Linked DNA regions of Arabidopsis thaliana. The protein of the gene in region 1 interacts with the protein of each later gene in a pairwise test. Each region holds a gene or a part of one and is shown on either strand. Other genes may lie near its edges. The genes, in order: AT5G25940, AT1G15900, ABCG16 and AT2G23093.

Region 1 (3,367 bases):
TCTATAAGTAGTAGGAAAAATGTAATTAAGGATCCAAAATAATAATATTTATATTTTATTTGCAACCGAAAATTTTATAGACAACTCGCATTGAAAATGTTCTCAACTTGTTTTTATAGGAGGCAATACTTCTTGCGGTAGGGTTCAATTATATTGGTGCTCAATCAGGGAATTGTCCGATGCCATTTTCCAGTGGAATTTGATAGAAAATTTAAAATTAAGCATCAAAAAGTTGTCTGATGGCATTCATCGGAGTTGTCTTGAATCACCATTTTTCCGTTTCATCTCCTAACGTCTGTTTTTCACTTAAAAAGTCTCCAATTCCAGTATAACTTCGTAAAACTTGTACAAAACAACCGAAAAATACATTAAAAACGAACAAAAATGTGACAAACAACTCAAAACAAACACTAGACAAAGGACATAAGACACTAAAAACACAATATACCACATACAATTTTGGAGACACCCGCACACCGCTCTTCACCTCTTGGACTGTCAGTAACATTATGACATGACTATAGACATTACATTCACTTTCATGAAATTTACAACTACTCTTTGGATTTGGGTTGCAGAAAGATGCATACAGTAAAACAGCTCCATCAACCTCTTATGCTCATGTTTCATGCACATAAGTACTCAATTAGCCATAGGTGGAAGCTTAGACCCTGTTTCGACTTTCGAGTAGCTCGGATATATATGCATTATATCACATATCCCTTAGCACCATATTTTCTAATTTAATTTACAATATCACTCATTGCCACAAGTGTATAAAAACCATAGCAATAGAAGGGTATCAAAGTTCAAGTAACCAATTAAATTAGAACACTAGAAATACATTCTATCATCCAATCTAAGCAATCAAGTTAAATCATTAGAACAATATTGAACTACCGCCGAAGTAAGATCTCGTCTACCGGAGATATTGTCAGATTCTTGCCTCCGTTTTGTATTTGTTGTTTTGATTTGTAAAACTTTGGCTCAAGTCCAATTCAGGTATTATAATATTTTTAAAAAAAGAATATTGAACTATTAATAAAATCTTAACATTTTCTGTTGGTCCCTAGTACTTTTGATGGGCTCTCTATATCTTCGCTTTTGTATGTTTGAAGCATTAAGGCCGAATTCATTTAAAACTCAACTTCTATACCAAAAATTTTATTTTAAATTTTATGTAATTAAAATAAACTAACCAATTTTTTAAAAATTACTATTTTAATCACATATAAAATTAAGTTTTAATTTATCTTTCTATACAAAAATATCATCATTAATGAAATTAACTAATTTATTATATTTTTTTAATCATTTTTTCACTTATAAATTTTATCTAAAACTGAATCGATTAATTTCTTATATCTCTAAAGATATCCGTATGGTAACAAAATTGACTCCAAACATTTCTTAAGTCGATTTCTAAAACCGCTCCAAAAGACCATTGTGCATTAAAAATACTAAAAATCTAAAATTTAAAATATTCTCAATAACAAACATTTACGAACCACTGAATTTTATTTTATTTTAAAAATAATCTATAACATAATAATTGTTTTATCTGTTTTCTAACACAAATTATTCTAAATACATGATTGAAATACATTTCTAAATTGGCGTTTTATAGACTATAGTATTTTGACAACTTTGTTTTCAATATTGGCGTTTCATTATTTTGGTGAAAGATTCCCAACTTATAAAAAAAAAAAACGAATTTTTAATTTTCGTCCTAATCATTTATTTCCTAACCAAAGAAAAAGGCAAATCGCGACCCGTCTCTCTCTCTCTCTCTCTCCTTGAAATCGAAAGATCAAAAAAGCGACACTGAAAATGGAAAATCGGTCAGAAATGGGTAACCGGAGGCAGCAGAATCTCTTCGTCATAGCTTCTCCCGACGAGATTGCTAAGATCCATCGAGCCGAAACTTCCAAACAAGGTCTCTTCTTCTTTCTCCGTCTCTCTCTCTCTTTTTTCCCCTAAAAAAAATCTTTTAAATTGATGACTTTGGATTATGTTACAGCCGGAGCTATTGCCGGAGCTAAGGCCGCCGCCGTTGCCGCCGTCGCCAGTGCGATTCCCACAGTAATCATATAATCTCACTTATCTAAATTTTTTAAATTGAGATCTTAAATGAATTAAATGTAAGAGTTATGTTTCTTTGTTGTTGAATTTTAAGACAAAAGTGACTCACCAATCTCATGTTCTGTAATAATCAAGAGTTTCAATTTTGTTACCTATTCATTTTGTGATTTCTGAATACACCAAGTAGAGTCACATTCTTTTTGATGTGTATATAAGATATGAATTTGGTACATAAGCATGCCTTGTTTTCGTAACAGGTAGCTGCCGTTCGTATGTTCCCGTGGGCTAAGGCAAACCTCAACTACACTGCTCAAGCACTCATTATTTCTTCAGGTTAGCTCTATCAGCAATATGCCTTAAATCATTACTATATGTTCTTCCTGGAACTAAGTAGAAAAAAGATACTAGCTTTAACATTGTTGTAGAAACCTCGAACTTCCCTTTTGAACCTAGTTGAGTTTGGGGTTTTTAAGTATTCGTACATTCATTTCTCCACAATTTTCTTCTGATTTCTATCTTGTGATTATGGTGATCATTGGAACAGCTTCTATCGCTGCGTTCTTCATAACCGCGGATAAAACGATTCTACAAGGCGCAAGAAGAAACACCGAGGCTCAGTTAAAGAAAGTTCAGCAAGACTCTAAATAATTTCTCTTCTTATTGTAACACAAATCAATCATCATCTTTCTCTGTTTTGTATGCATATTTTGCCTTGATTCTTAATAAGAGTGTTATTATTATAAGGAATAACAAATTCTTTAAGACCATTTTTTATTCAGACTTTCAGATTTTGTTCTCAAATAAGTTACAAGCTGGTAGTTATACTCTTAACTAAAACTTTGCTTACACAAAAACTAAATGGTTTCTAATACATTTGTACATTTCACAAAAAAAACAACATCAAGTGTTGTGATTATTTGATTATACAAAACCTAAATCTTCATCTTCTACCCTTTTACTTGTCCTTCGACCCGATAAACTAACTAGTAGAGGTGCCTCATATGCCTCTGTTGCAGTCTTCTTCGTCGCCTCAAGTCCTTGTTGGCGCAGAACATACAAGACCTCTTTCATGGAAGGTCTATGACTAGGCAATGTGTTAGTACACATGAGACCTAGCTTGAAAACTGTTGTCATCGCCTCAGTCGTGGAAGCTTCTTTGATGTCCTCATCAAACGCCTCTGCGGTCGGTTTTCCAGATTGGTAATGTTTCCATGACCAATCTGCTAAGTTTGTGTGTTCATCTCCGTTGTTTCCTTCTCTTCCAGTCACCAGCTCTAGCAAAACT
Region 2 (3,095 bases), on another chromosome or scaffold:
AATGAGAAAACAGAGAATAGAAGAAATCTGGAGCTTACGTTAGAGAGGGAAGGAAAGGGAAGACGGCGATGACCCAACGCTTGATGAAGAGTGGAGTATAGAGAGACAGTGAGGAGGATCCGAAGAAAATTTCTATGCCAATAAAACAAGAGTTAGGGAATAAAAAAAGCAATAAAGATGAAGAGGACTTGGAAATTGGAATTAATTTAAGAACAAAAAAAAAATGAATTAGGATTCAGAAAAAATAAATGCGCCAATAGAAGGAGAGTTAGGAAAAAGCAATATTAAAGATAACGACTAAAAACACATTGATGAAAGAAAAAGAAAAAGAAAAAAAATCATGTTTGACTCATGTTTGACCAAAATTCATTTTGGTCTTGGTCTTGGACATCATAATCTTTTCAATTTTGTTGGTTTTCAAATTTTGATGTGATGTTTCAAGCAGGCCAAATGTTTCTCTCCTTGATCTTCACAATGAATGAGCAAATGGCGAAAACGAATATTTGATATTGAGCCTAAACACTGAACTAATTCAAAATTTCAGATTTCATGAATCATATACTTTAGCAGCAATAATCTGAGTACAGTTTTATTCAAAACTGATTTACTTGAATCAACAATACTCTCATAAACTGTTTGTTGCATGTTTTCATTTCAACAAGTAAAATCAAAGGAGACTGATTACCAAAATTTTGTGATGATCAAACTTTTGATAAAAATTGCGAGATTATCCGTGGATACAACACTGACAAGCTTCAACGGAATATTTTCTACTGTGAATCGAATCGGCAGCAATAAGAAAGAAGATTCAAATCGGAAGGATGGGTCGGGTACGTGATCTTCGAGATTTCCAGAGGAGGAGAACCAAAGCAGCTATCACAACTCCAATGGCGTCCGCGACGGCGTCTCTAACGGAAGCACCTGCGGAAGGGAAGATACCAATTTGATCGGCAGCTTCTTTAGCCGCACCGGCGGCGAGTGAGAAAGCAGATCCGATCCAGATGGAGTGACGGCGTAGAAAGGAGTAGCGGGAGAAAGAGGCGAGAGTAGAGAAGATAAGAGAGATTGAGAAGCAGAATATTACATGGTATAGTTTGTCTCGAGCTAGCCAAGGATCTTCTCCATCGCCGCCATGAAATTGCGTCTCCATCTAGTGTTCTTACTGGAAGGCTAAAAACGGTTTTCCGCGTTACAAAGATTAGGAAACCTTTTAAAGTAATAAACTCAGAGAGATTAGAGTAAAGAGAGAATGATAACGCACTTGGAATTTTTTGAACTTATTAGACAAAAACAAAATACAAGTGAAAACTGAAAAAGGAAATAGTCTTTCAAAACTTTGAAAACAAGTTAATCGGGAACAAAAGCAGTGCACAAACAGAAACCAAATCAAGAAGTGAAAGGATATAGTCAAACAGAGAGTGTCAAATCAAGCAAGAATGAGGGAGATAGAAAAGCAGTACATCTGCGATCTGCGATAGCTTCATTCTCCAAAACTAGTACATAAGCCAGAAACCATCAGCTAGCACCGGAGCACCGTCCTCCCATTATTCATTGGCATGTCGCGGAAACTCAGTGGCAGCTTCCGGTAGCTTAAGGCAGCTTCGTACATCAAATTGTCTCAGGTTTGGAAGAGCCGGGGGATTCCAGCAGATTCTCTTTAACTCATCCAAACCCCTTACTTCAAGGAATTCCAGCTTCCCAAACGGAACAACGATATTTGGATGCACATTGGTAATACTCATTCCTTTCTCCTTGTTTATTATCTCTTCTATGGTTAATGACAGCGTCACAGATAGACGCCTGAGGTTTTGAGCAAACAACAGCCATGTTAAATCCCTTGGACCTTCCAAATTGAATATTTCAACAACAGAGAGGTGCTTAAAGCCAGGAGAACTTGTACATTTAAGCTCCCCTCTTCCTTTTCTTTCCCAATCTATCTTTATCTCTGAGATTTTGGAGCCCACGATTTCAAGGTGTTGAAGACCACCCAGAGCTACCGTGTTCAATATTATAACCGGTGCTGACATATTTCTGAGACATAAAGCTTGAATACTACTCACCAATCGGTCCACTCCTTGTATACTTTCCAAAATCAAGGCGTCCTTTATAGTTGCTGTTAAAACCTTCAAGTGCTCCAAGAGTAGTAACTCTTCCATTAAACTGCCATCAATACAAACACGAGAAGAAAACAATTTCAACACTTGCAGGTTTGGTAGGCTTGTAGCTATCCCAACAATACTTTCAAGTTCATCAGTAAACTCCAGATTCAAATGGATTAATTTCTTCAACTCCTTAAAACTAACTGGCAACCATTTTATCCCTGTTGTTGATAAGTTGATATATTGCAAGGAACCTAACTTAGAAATTGCTTCCGGCAAGCTAGAGAGACTCGAGTTCCTCGAAAGATCCAAGACCACGAGTGCTGGCATAAACCTAAAAAAGTCACATGATATATGCACCAACTTGTTATTCTGGAGTAATAGAGTTGAGAGGTTGGGAGAGTTGGAACTAGAAGATATATTTGCAATCTGATTGCACATCAAAGACATCCTTCTCAAACTTTCCCAATTGATGTCCTTTGGTATATGGCATAACTGCACACCGGGTTTCACACAAAGTGTTTCTTTCTGTTTTCCAAAGTTCGACGCTATCCAAAGAGCCATCTCGCGTATGACATCATGCATTTTCACTTTTGTTGTTAGTTCACCATCCATCAATAGATGTGCACGAACTAACGAGCCAATTATGTCATGACCTTTGTTGTTAGCTCCATCTTCATCTTCATTCCCATCTATAAATCCTTCACACATCCAATATTCTATCAACTCTTCCTTTCTTACTTCATAATCTTCCGGAAACAGGGAACAATAAAGGAAGCACAATTTGACTTTTTCATCTTTTAAATCATCATAACTGAACTTCAAAACAGGAAGAATTTTTTCTTCCATACTTGGGAACTCGTGGCTAGACGAGTTCAGAACATGAATCACATGCTGCCATTCCTGAACAGTCTCTCTAGATGCCATAGCTTTGCCAATGACACTGAGTGCAAGTGGCAAGCCACAACATTTTTCTGCTACTTTTCTTGCAAGTGT
Region 3 (5,287 bases), on another chromosome or scaffold:
AACAGTCCATCACATTGATTTCACAAATTTCACGAAAGTCTCAATCTTTCACAAATCAAACCTGAGTTTGGAGCTCTAACGTTAGTTTCCCGGCGAGACTGAAACGCTTGGCTAAAGAGCTAACATTGCGCCTTTGTTGAAACCCGAAAAGCTTCACTGTCGAAATGCAGAATAGCATCTCCAGCCAAACTGGATGGCGCGTGAGCAACCACCGCTCGTATTATGGACTCGTGTTTCGACTGCGGCTAGAGCAGAGCGGCCAGGACCAGACGATATTCTGATGCTGATTCGGTCCGGTTTGTTTCGGTTTTAAATTTCAGATAAATCGGTTTGTTTTTAATTGATTTTGTAGATAGCCTTCCAATTTTGACTTTTTGATACCTTACAAAGTGAAATGGCTTTGAGAGTTACTTGCCTCTAGCAACAGTGTCTGTGTCTCCTCATTTTTCTTCCACAATCTCAATGCCTCTATTTGAAATGTTGCATTAATTTTCTGAGTAAAAGCGATTCATAGGTGCTTTTTGTATTTCCAATTTCCTAAAGAATGATATTTTTTTTATTGATGGCAAAAGTAATACAAATGTTAAAAAGAATACAATTCAAATACACAATCAATCTACGAATTACAAGTAATGAAAAAGAATTACAATATATGTTTTTGGTTTTAGGTATCATCAGTAGTTTCAGTTTCACCTCCTCTTGTTTTTGCTCCCAAGCAACAAACACAAGTAAAACAAAATCCTAAATAGGAATCCGAAACCTACCGTGATAAGCAAGCAGTTCCATTTACTAAGCTGTGTCACTCCTTGCTGCTTCAGAACATCAGCACCCGTCGTTAAACACGTAGAGCTCGATATCCTCATACCTATCGACCGGCTCACAGAATCCAAAAGCCTCAGCTTCATCCCATACGTCAATTCTCCCAAAGGCGAGTTGTCGAAAAGCTGAACACCTCTCACAAAACATTCTGTAGGATCCGAGAACTCGTTCTGAAGAACCGCCTCGTATGGATACTTAACCAGAGAAAGATAATGAAACCAAATCCAATACTGAGGGATTCGATCTCTGTTGATGAAGAAGCCACTGAAAAGCAAGAAGTAAGCTAAAATAGCAACAACGATCGTGTAGCCTAACATCACATGTGGAACGACGCCGGATAAGAAAGTCACGAAGGAGCTTCCGGACCAGAAAGAGGCTAAGATGATTAAGCAGTAGAATAAAAAGCCCATTAGGCCTCCTTCAAGCCCAACAGCCCAAAACGTCGTCACTGCGAAAGCTAAAGAGAGGAAGATGAGCGAAGGGAAGGTAACAATGGCGTGAGAGAGAACGTAGGAGGATCTCCGGTAAGCGTTGTAAGCTGTTTCTCTCATGAAGATGTAACGTTCCTGGAGGAACACGGGAAGAGCATCGGCGCAAGTGTAGAACATTGTTGACATTGCGAATGCGAAGAACCCTAACCGCTCTTGAACTCCTTTTGGTGAATTATCCAATCGCCAGAATACGGTGGCTAAGATGAATCCGGTGACGATTACGGTGGCTAATCGCATTCCGAGTAGCTCCGGTTGTCGTCGGGAGTTGAGGATTGAGCGTCTGGTGAGAGTTTTGATTTCGATCCAGAACGGATTCGCGAATGCAGGGACGGCTAAGGTTCCGCCACCGTGGTTTATGACGGAGGAACCACCGCCGCCACCGGAGACTAGTTTTCCTCTGCTTATGCTGGCGGAAATCGCTTCTTTCAAGGTTAAATTTGGGTTTGGAGAAGCCGGCGGAGTTAGGGTTTGAGGATTGCTCTGTTTCTTCATCTCTTGCCATTTCTTGTTGAATTCAACTAATCCTCTTGTTCCTCCAGCTGATCCTTCGAGTTCTCTGATTAGATCGAGTGCAAACTCCGTTTGATTCTCGTTTTCCGGTATCGGATTACCGAACCCGGCGAAAAAGCTCGGTAGACTCGCCGGAGAACCACTAAAGACGGTGTGTCCACGTGACAAGAAGATAAGACGATCAAGTAAACTGAGAACTCTGTGACTTGGCTGATGTATTGACATTATAATGATACTGCCACTCTCTGCGATTCTCTTCAATACTTTAACCACCATGAAAGCACTTGTGGAATCTAAACCAGAAGTAGGTTCGTCGAGGAAGAGAACAATCGGGTCGTGGATGATATCGATTCCGATCGAAACTCGCCTTCTTTCTCCACCGGAGATTCCACGGTGTCCTTCGTCTCCAATGATTGTTTTAGCAGCGTTTCTTATCCCTAACTGGTCGATTAGGGCTTGAACTCGAAGCTTCTTCTTGGATTTAGGTAAGCTTCTTGGTAATCGAAACTCAGCTGCAAACATTAAGGTTTCTTCCACAGTAAGCATCGGGAAGAGAAGATCGTCTTGCATTACATAAGCTGAGATAACTTTCAGCATCCGAGATTGAAGAGCTTCTCCGTTAAGCGTTACCGTGCCCTTCAAGCTTCCTTTAGCGATCCGATTCGCTAAAGCGTCGATCAAAGTGGATTTACCTGACCCGCTAGCTCCAAGAACGGCAAGAATCTCTCCGTCACGAGTCTCACCGGAGATATTGTCTAGAAGAGTCTTGGTCTTGGAGAAAGATGTCCTCCTCCATGGAACCAGGTCGTGAAAGTCAAGTTTCCGGCGAACAGAGACGTTGTAAGTAAGGTTGTTGAAAGATAGAACGAAAGGAACAGGACGCATAAGATGATCATTATCTCCGTCAAGTGAAGAACCATCCCTGTCAAAGAATTCATGAACAGGAGTTTCGTCACCAACTTCAACCTTACGAACGTCGCTAACGTTCTTGAGAAGTTGGCCTAAAGTCAAAGATGAGCTAATAATCTCCATGGAATGAAACGGTGTTGCATTATCATCTTCTACTAGTATGCGAGACATTTAGAACAAAAGATGGTAAAGTGAGAAATGATGTGCTTACACTTGAAAATCAAAACACTCTTTGCATGATCAAAATGTTAGTCTTTGTTCTCTGTTTTGCTAGTATCTGTGTATAGGCCTTATATATATGAAGTAACGTGTGGAAGCGTGTGAACACGAAGGTTCTATGTGTTGAATGAGTTGCATCATCATGAGAAATCTGTTAGGTTTGTGTTGTTAACAATAATATTCTTAGCGTTTGGATGGAAAATGCGTTTTGGATTTCTCGTATTCAATTAGGGAGAGGTAATGGGATGACCAATAAATCTAGATTTTCCAAGGTGATAATACTAAAATACGTAGAAATGGCTGACACGTGGCGATTAGAATGGAGAATTAGGTGAAGGGTGTTGATCTAACCGAGGTATAGATAGTATATAGGATTGAGATGAGATATTTCTTGCGTTTCACATAGTGTTTGGTCAATTAATTAATGTTTTTAAAAGATTCTTCGAATGTTGGTAGCGATATAGTGATTGTTTGTATCGCAAGCAAATGTGTACCTAGATAAACTATTCACATTTTCTTTTGTTTTCGCGACCGAAGACGATTGCTTATGCTGCTAACTGCCTAAAAGTTGCAAATTGCAATAATTCCGGAACCCCAACTAATTCTACCAAATATAATATAAAAGTTATATTTGATAAAGTAGCTAGATTTGTATTTAGTTTGGGAATATAAACTCCTGTTTTTGCTATGAAAGACTACACACAATCTCCAAGTTCATTTTTTCTATTTCTTGATTATTTAGTTGGTAACGGTGGAACATTCTTTACCAAACTCAAATATTGTGTTTGGTCTTTGTTTCCTCTGTTTTATTCACAGTATACAGAAGCTGATAAAACATTCTTTTTGTTTTGTAAAGGGTGGAGTGGTGGTTTAAGAGAAATATAATAAAAATCGTCAAGTTTGTTGCTAAAATTAAACATGCATGCGAAAATTACACGAGAATCATAAAGATGGTGTCACATTTCAAATACTATTTGTTAAGAAAGTAAAAATAGTGATGTCTTTGATCCATCCAGGGAAAGAAGAAACAGATCAAAAGGTTAGGCAACTTCCTCTTAAGTAGTACTTGGTCAAACTTCTAGTGATGGACACAATGGTAACATGAAAGCAAAATTGACGTACTGGCTTAGCTTCTTGGATTTCCAATCCTAAACTTTGACTTCACTGTTACATCTTTTTGGTTGACATTTTGAAGTTTAGGTGACTAACTTCTACCTACTGTAGTCTTCCTTACCGCCATAAGAAAAGGGTCAAAGATTTATAATACCATCTAATAAAGCTTATAAGAAAGTTGGCTACTTTGAATTCTATTTTCGACCAACTGTTTAGTTGTATATACTTTTGTTTTTAAAAAGTGATGCAATTTGAATTTTGTCAAATACGTTATGTTTACACCGACCACGAAAGATGGCATATAGCTCACACGCACATTAAAACTACTAAATTACTTCACTGGTAGCTTGTGGTATCTTTATATTAGTTTGAACTTTAAACTATTGATGTAGTTCATATTGTTAAGTTAAAAACATTACCAATTGTGAATTAAACTAAAATCTTAGTCCTTTATAAAATTGTGAACCTAACATCATGTAAAATGTTAGATGTACGATTCTTTCTTTAGACAATATATGATAGCTATGAAAGAAAAAAATAATAATTATACAACATATATCATCAATATCTCAAATTCAAAAAGACAATTTTGCTTTCACAATAAAATTTCTGTTTCGGAAAAATTTACATTATGGCGTTCACGCCCTCTTATTCTTGCTTCCAAGCAACAACGAAAAATAAAACAAGATCCTAAAGAAGAATCCCCAAGCTAACGTTACCCACAAGCAACCCCATTTATCCAGCTGCTCAATTCCATGCTGCTTAAGCAAATCAGAGCCCGTCGTCAAACACGTTGATTCCGTTAACTCCATCCCCAAGTAACCGCTCATTGTCTCCAGAAGCTTAGCCTTTGTCGTTTCAGATACTCCTTCCATTATTGTATTATCAAACACTTGGTTTCCTCTCACGAAACAACGGGAGGGATCATCGAATTCGTTGTGCAGAACAGCTTCGTAGGGATACTTTAGCAGAGAAATGTAATGAATCCATATCCAATAAAGATGGATTCGATCACGGTTGACGTAGAATCCGCTGAAGAGGAGGCAGTATGAGAGATAGCCAAAGGTGACCATGTAACTCATCATCACGTTTGGAATCACACCGGAGACAAATGTAACAAACGAGCATCCTGACCAGAAGGACGCGAAGATGATCATAAGATAGTAGATAAAACCTGCCAGACCACCGTTTAGACCAACGAACCAGAACGTGGTCGCTGCAAAGCC
Region 4 (4,797 bases), on another chromosome or scaffold:
ACTCACCAATCACCTAAAGTTATTTTGGATTCTAGATAATTCAACATAATGGGCCTTCGGACTTATTATCCATTTAAGGCCCGTTAAAACAAGAACCTTTAACGTTTAAACGACTGAGGTTTTTTTTTTTTTTTTGGTCTGAATAAATCAGTTGACCAACACACAAATATGTTTTCAATCTAAACCAAGAAAAAGATTCTTTTTTGCTAATTGATAACCTGTACAGTTTATCTTATTCAAAGGAATTGAGACACTCACTCATTCATGCAAAATGATAGGATTAATATTATTCAGGGAGTGAGTGGTTTATATTGTTAACTTCTAAAAAAACTAAAACAAAACAGAATTTACAATTAAAAAATTAAAAATAAAGGAAAATTATTTTTTTGTTGTTTTAGGACAGACTCTAGTAAATGTCAATTTTATTAGGTCTCTATAAGCTATAACCTACACGATTTATCTTCTTCAAAAAAAATGAGTCACTCACTCACACAAAATATGACCGCTTTTTATTGATTGCACGAGCTAACTACTACCTTGTCTATTGAGTATAAGAGAGCAAATGATGGTATAGCAATGAACATCGAGATGATACTAAGAAAGATTGTCCGAAGAATCTCGATAGTAGTTCGAGCTATCAAACTTTAGAGGTTTAACTCACACTAACGCTCGTTTAGTAGACAACTCGTCAGTCAATTGATTTCACCCGGCGAATGAGTGGTTTCTATTGTTAACTTCTAGAAGAATTCATTTTGATTTTTTCTAGATGATTCCGTAATTTTGACATCTAACATATGATTTCATCATATTCTTTTCGGCCAAAACATGATTCAGAAATTTTAACATAAATTCAAATTGGGCAAAAAATCAAAATTTGGAAATGATTATTTTGTAATTTCTGTTTTAAATTATTATTGTGTTTTGATGCATATGCTATAAATTTTATCTCAAAATTATGGCTTCTTGAAATCTGGATTTGAGAATCTTGCATATTTCATGTTAAACCTTGAAAAATATGCAACATCATGAATCCTCATTATCCATTAGTTCTCATAAAATCTTATCTATTTTACTGAAATTTCCTAAGTATTTGAAAGAAAAACCTACAAAATCATAATTTTCATCAACATCATGATAATTTGGATTTCGCACCAAATTCGAATTATCTTGAAAATTGAACTCCATAATCTTCTAGTATTTCCATTGGTCTCACAAAATCGTTGTGGCCAAGATAATGTTTTAGGATCGAAGAGTAATTAAAAGAGCGATAAATATTTTCTTAAAAAGATCTAAGAGAGATTCAAATATCTAAAAAATCAATTTTTCATATTTGATATACATCTTTGGCGATTAGTTGCGTTGTGGTGAATTCAAACATCTAGAAACAACCAACGTTAAATCTTTGCTATGAACTTGAATTTTTTTGTTGCACACACATATAAGAAAGAAAAAAAAAAGACTAAAAAACATGTTCAAAAAAATGTGAAAGGCGATGTCAATGGTCAAGAAATATTATACAAAAACAAATTGTAACAAAATTTTGTGTAGCTTACTTCAACTTAAGACTATTTTTTGGGTGGGATAGTTATTGGGCCTTTTGGCCTGATAATAATATTGGGCTTCATTTCTTTTTGTGCACCACTTACATCAGTCAAGATCTCAAATTCTCTCCGACGTAATTGAGTTTTTTTGTTTGTTCTTTTACTTCTTTCTCCGGCTGATTTACCGGTGAATTTTGGATCGATGGGTGTCGTTATTGAGACCTTTATTTGGGAACCAAGCTCAAGCTTCTTCATCTTCTTCTTCGTTTCCACATTTTTATCGATATCTCTGTTTCCTTACTTGGCCAAAAACAGAACTTTTGGTAGCTTTGATCATTCTATTTCCTCTTCTTTCGCTCGGTTCCAGAGATGGTTTCTAGCTATCTACACTCTCTCTTCAGGTACATCATTAGATTTCTTCAGTTGGGTCTACAGATTTTTATCTGTATCTATGGTGCTTTCAATTTCTGGTTTCGAAAGCTTTCAACTTTTGCCTTTTCTCGTCTATCAAAATGGATCCTTTGCTACAATTTGAATTCTTTGATTGGAATGTGGCAGTGATGGAAGGTTTATTGTCAGTGTATGGAGAATTGGAGTTAACAACTTATGGCTTAAGTAAAGAATCAATGGTGTTTTATCTCTGTGTTGGTTATTCGACCGCTCTTGTTCTTGGTCCTGTACTTGGTGTGGTTTCTGATCTCATGTAAGTAGCTTTTAGTAAAATGTTGATCAAAGTGTTTTCATTTTGTGCTAGTAATGATAAATACCGAAACTTTTGTAGAGGTCAGAAGAAAATTTGTCTACTCTATTGTGTCTTGCACCTTATTGTTGGTGTGTGGAAGAGGATTACAATGAGTCCTAGTGCTTGGTTTGCAAATGTTTTTCTCTCCCTTGCTGGTCTTGTATATTCATTTGGGTTTGAGACTTGGCTTGTTGTGGAACATGAAAAGGTATATGGATTGGTCATTGCATTTGAGTTTTTATTATTAGATAATCAATGTTCTGATTTTGTAATGATGTTCTGTGTCTTGTATCTTTGTAGCAAAGTCAGAGGAATGACTCGTTAAATGAGACATTCTGGTTGATGACTTTTCTTGAGTCTGCATCTTTAATTGGAGGTCAAGTTCTTGCAAATTGGCTTGTGGGTGAAAATGTTCAGGATGGGATTGCATTATCTGCTACGGCGTCTCTGCTCTTGTCTGTTGTGACTATTATTTGTATTGTCCAGACTGCAAAAGAGCCGTTGAAGACCCTTCCGTTTAGGGATTATTCCACAGCTTTCTATGCGTATGTTCTTGGTGGTAAGATTTTGTCTTCATCTATTCAGTTAAAATTCCTGAAAGAGTATACGCTAATCTTAGCTTGTTAATGTGATCAGACAAAAGAATATGGTTTCTGGGAACTTCACAAGCCTGTCTTCAGTTTTCCACTGCAGTCTTTTGGATTCTGTGGGCACCAACAATAGTGGTATGATTAAGCTTCCTAATATAATATTTGCAGTTGCTTGAACCAAATTTTATATTTCAGAAATCAAATTAGCAATGATGGTTACTGTCATTTGATGTTTAGGACCTCCAGTGATTCCCTAATTGGCCTTTAGATGATAAAATTATTGGTATTTATTTCTCGACAATGGAATGATTAAAATGAGTTATGTTTGTTTAGGCTGATGGGCGTGAAGTGAATCTGGGATTGATATATCCATGTTTCTTGGGTTCAAGAATGCTTGGGAGTACTGTATTCCCATGGCTAATGAGTGGACAATCATTGCTCCGGCTTGAAGATTGCTTAGTCTACATATACGCACTACTTGGGATAGTGTTTTCTATAGTAGCCTATGATTATCAGGTAACTTATTTGCTTGTTTCACAAAAGTGTACCAGTGAAAAACTTATTTGCTTCATATGGAAGGCCTCACGCATAAAAGACCATATCCTGCAGGAAATCCGAATCTTAGTAGTACTTTTCTGCTTATTTCATGGCTTTGCTGGACTGGCACTTCCTTTGCTTGCAAGATTAAGAACAATGTAATGCTCTTATATATTTTTCCTTATTATTCATCAGAGACATTCTTTGTTAGTAGAAGAACCTTTCTTCTCTGTTGTAACGGACTGTTATCTTTATTTATAGGTATGTACCAAATGAATTGCGTGGAGGGATGATAAGCCTCTCTCAAGTTCCAGCCAATGCAGCTATTTTGTTTTTCTTAATCCAGGTTTGTGCTATCAAAAACACAATTGTTAACCTATTTTGCTTCTGTTTCTGTTACCTTACCGATCTTAATATTGCAGAGAGGCTACTCTAACAAGATCGAGAACTCAACAATGATGGCTCTTGGTGCCATTTCTTTATTCACTGCATCTGGTTGTATATATATGTTGAGACGATGGGGAAAGTCACCACACCATGATTGGCACAAATTATGATCCTGAGTAACTCGTGGTCTCTGGTTATGATACTTATGCGGAAGCAGGACAAGGCAAAACGAAGATAAATCTACTGGAAACTCAAGTTGGTCTATGATCTTGTGTTAATGGTCTCGCTTCGATTTTGTAGCAGCATGAAGTGAGGAAACACAAAACCTTGGAAGTTCAAAGATGCAATGAAAGCAGTATAAGAGGTTTGATTATTAGTTTAAGAGGATTCTATTATTTTAAATGATTGTTTGATTCATGTCTTATTAAGATCATCTCCTTTGGACCTTTTAGGCATTATTGTTTTACTAGTAAATATGAATGAAATTTTTACAAGTTACAAGTCAAATCTGAATTATCTTCAATCATATGTTTGGTCTCTTATCCATTTGGTGGCAACCCATTTCTCACCCTTGATAACAGGACAGCTTCCATGTAGAGATGTCTGCAACAACAAACCCAAAATTCTGAGAAAGATCAAACATTTTATGTCTTAAATGAGGTTTTTGATTGTCAGGAACACTAACTTGATCGATCGTTCCATTTGGAAACAAATTGTAGAAGAAAATGGCGTCTCCTTGTCGCGGCTTTACTTTCAGACCAACACACTTCTCATAATCATATCTTCCATTCATATTTCTCCCATTCTGCTTCCACAAAACCATTCTGTTTTACAACTCAAAATCCCAACCATGTTAAATCGAAAGAAAGAAACAATGATTACCTCGAATGGGAACATCGTCTCTCCACCTTCTTCGACACTCGATAAGAACAATAGGAAAGTCACGACCTGCATTCATATGTTGAGCCATGAGTGGAGGATCAACAGATGGTAGTTTTGA

What was found.
Region 2: the proteins of AT5G25940 (region 1) and AT1G15900 interact in a protein complementation assay, tested with the Arabidopsis thaliana proteins (one large-scale study listed by BioGRID).
Region 3: the proteins of AT5G25940 (region 1) and ABCG16 interact in a protein complementation assay, tested with the Arabidopsis thaliana proteins (one large-scale study listed by BioGRID).
Region 4: the proteins of AT5G25940 (region 1) and AT2G23093 interact in a protein complementation assay, tested with the Arabidopsis thaliana proteins (one large-scale study listed by BioGRID).

The regions. Positions count from the first base shown.
Region 1 is NC_003076.8:9,053,615-9,056,981, reverse strand, and holds AT5G25940 (early nodulin-like protein), read left to right. Parts: upstream 1-1,726; 5' UTR 1,727-1,830; coding exon 1,831-1,936; intron 1,937-2,020; coding exon 2,021-2,082; intron 2,083-2,339; coding exon 2,340-2,415; exon of another isoform or gene 2,416-2,626; coding exon 2,627-2,730; 3' UTR 2,731-2,860; downstream 2,861-3,367. Other genes in the region: AT5G25930 (kinase family with leucine-rich repeat domain-containing protein), read right to left, coding at 3,004-3,367.
Region 2 is NC_003070.9:5,462,411-5,465,505, reverse strand, and holds AT1G15900 (uncharacterized protein), read right to left. Parts: upstream 1,234-3,095; 5' UTR 1,151-1,233; coding exon 809-1,150; 3' UTR 559-808; downstream 1-558. Other genes in the region: AT1G15890 (Disease resistance protein (CC-NBS-LRR class) family), read right to left, coding at 1,545-3,095.
Region 3 is NC_003074.8:20,415,653-20,420,939, forward strand, and holds ABCG16 (ABC-2 type transporter family protein), read right to left. Parts: upstream 3,259-5,287; 5' UTR 2,901-3,258; coding exon 690-2,900; 3' UTR 531-689; downstream 1-530. Other genes in the region: AT3G55080 (SET domain-containing protein), read right to left, coding at 62-178; ABCG17 (ABC-2 type transporter family protein), read right to left, coding at 4,700-5,287.
Region 4 is NC_003071.7:9,830,450-9,835,246, forward strand, and holds AT2G23093 (Major facilitator superfamily protein), read left to right. Parts: upstream 1-1,582; 5' UTR 1,583-1,743; coding exon 1,744-1,942; intron 1,943-2,099; coding exon 2,100-2,244; intron 2,245-2,322; coding exon 2,323-2,491; intron 2,492-2,583; coding exon 2,584-2,842; intron 2,843-2,919; coding exon 2,920-3,008; intron 3,009-3,206; coding exon 3,207-3,389; intron 3,390-3,482; coding exon 3,483-3,568; intron 3,569-3,671; coding exon 3,672-3,756; intron 3,757-3,832; coding exon 3,833-3,967; 3' UTR 3,968-4,290; downstream 4,291-4,797. Other genes in the region: P4H13 (2-oxoglutarate (2OG) and Fe(II)-dependent oxygenase superfamily protein), read right to left, coding at 4,317-4,400, 4,483-4,602, 4,680-4,745.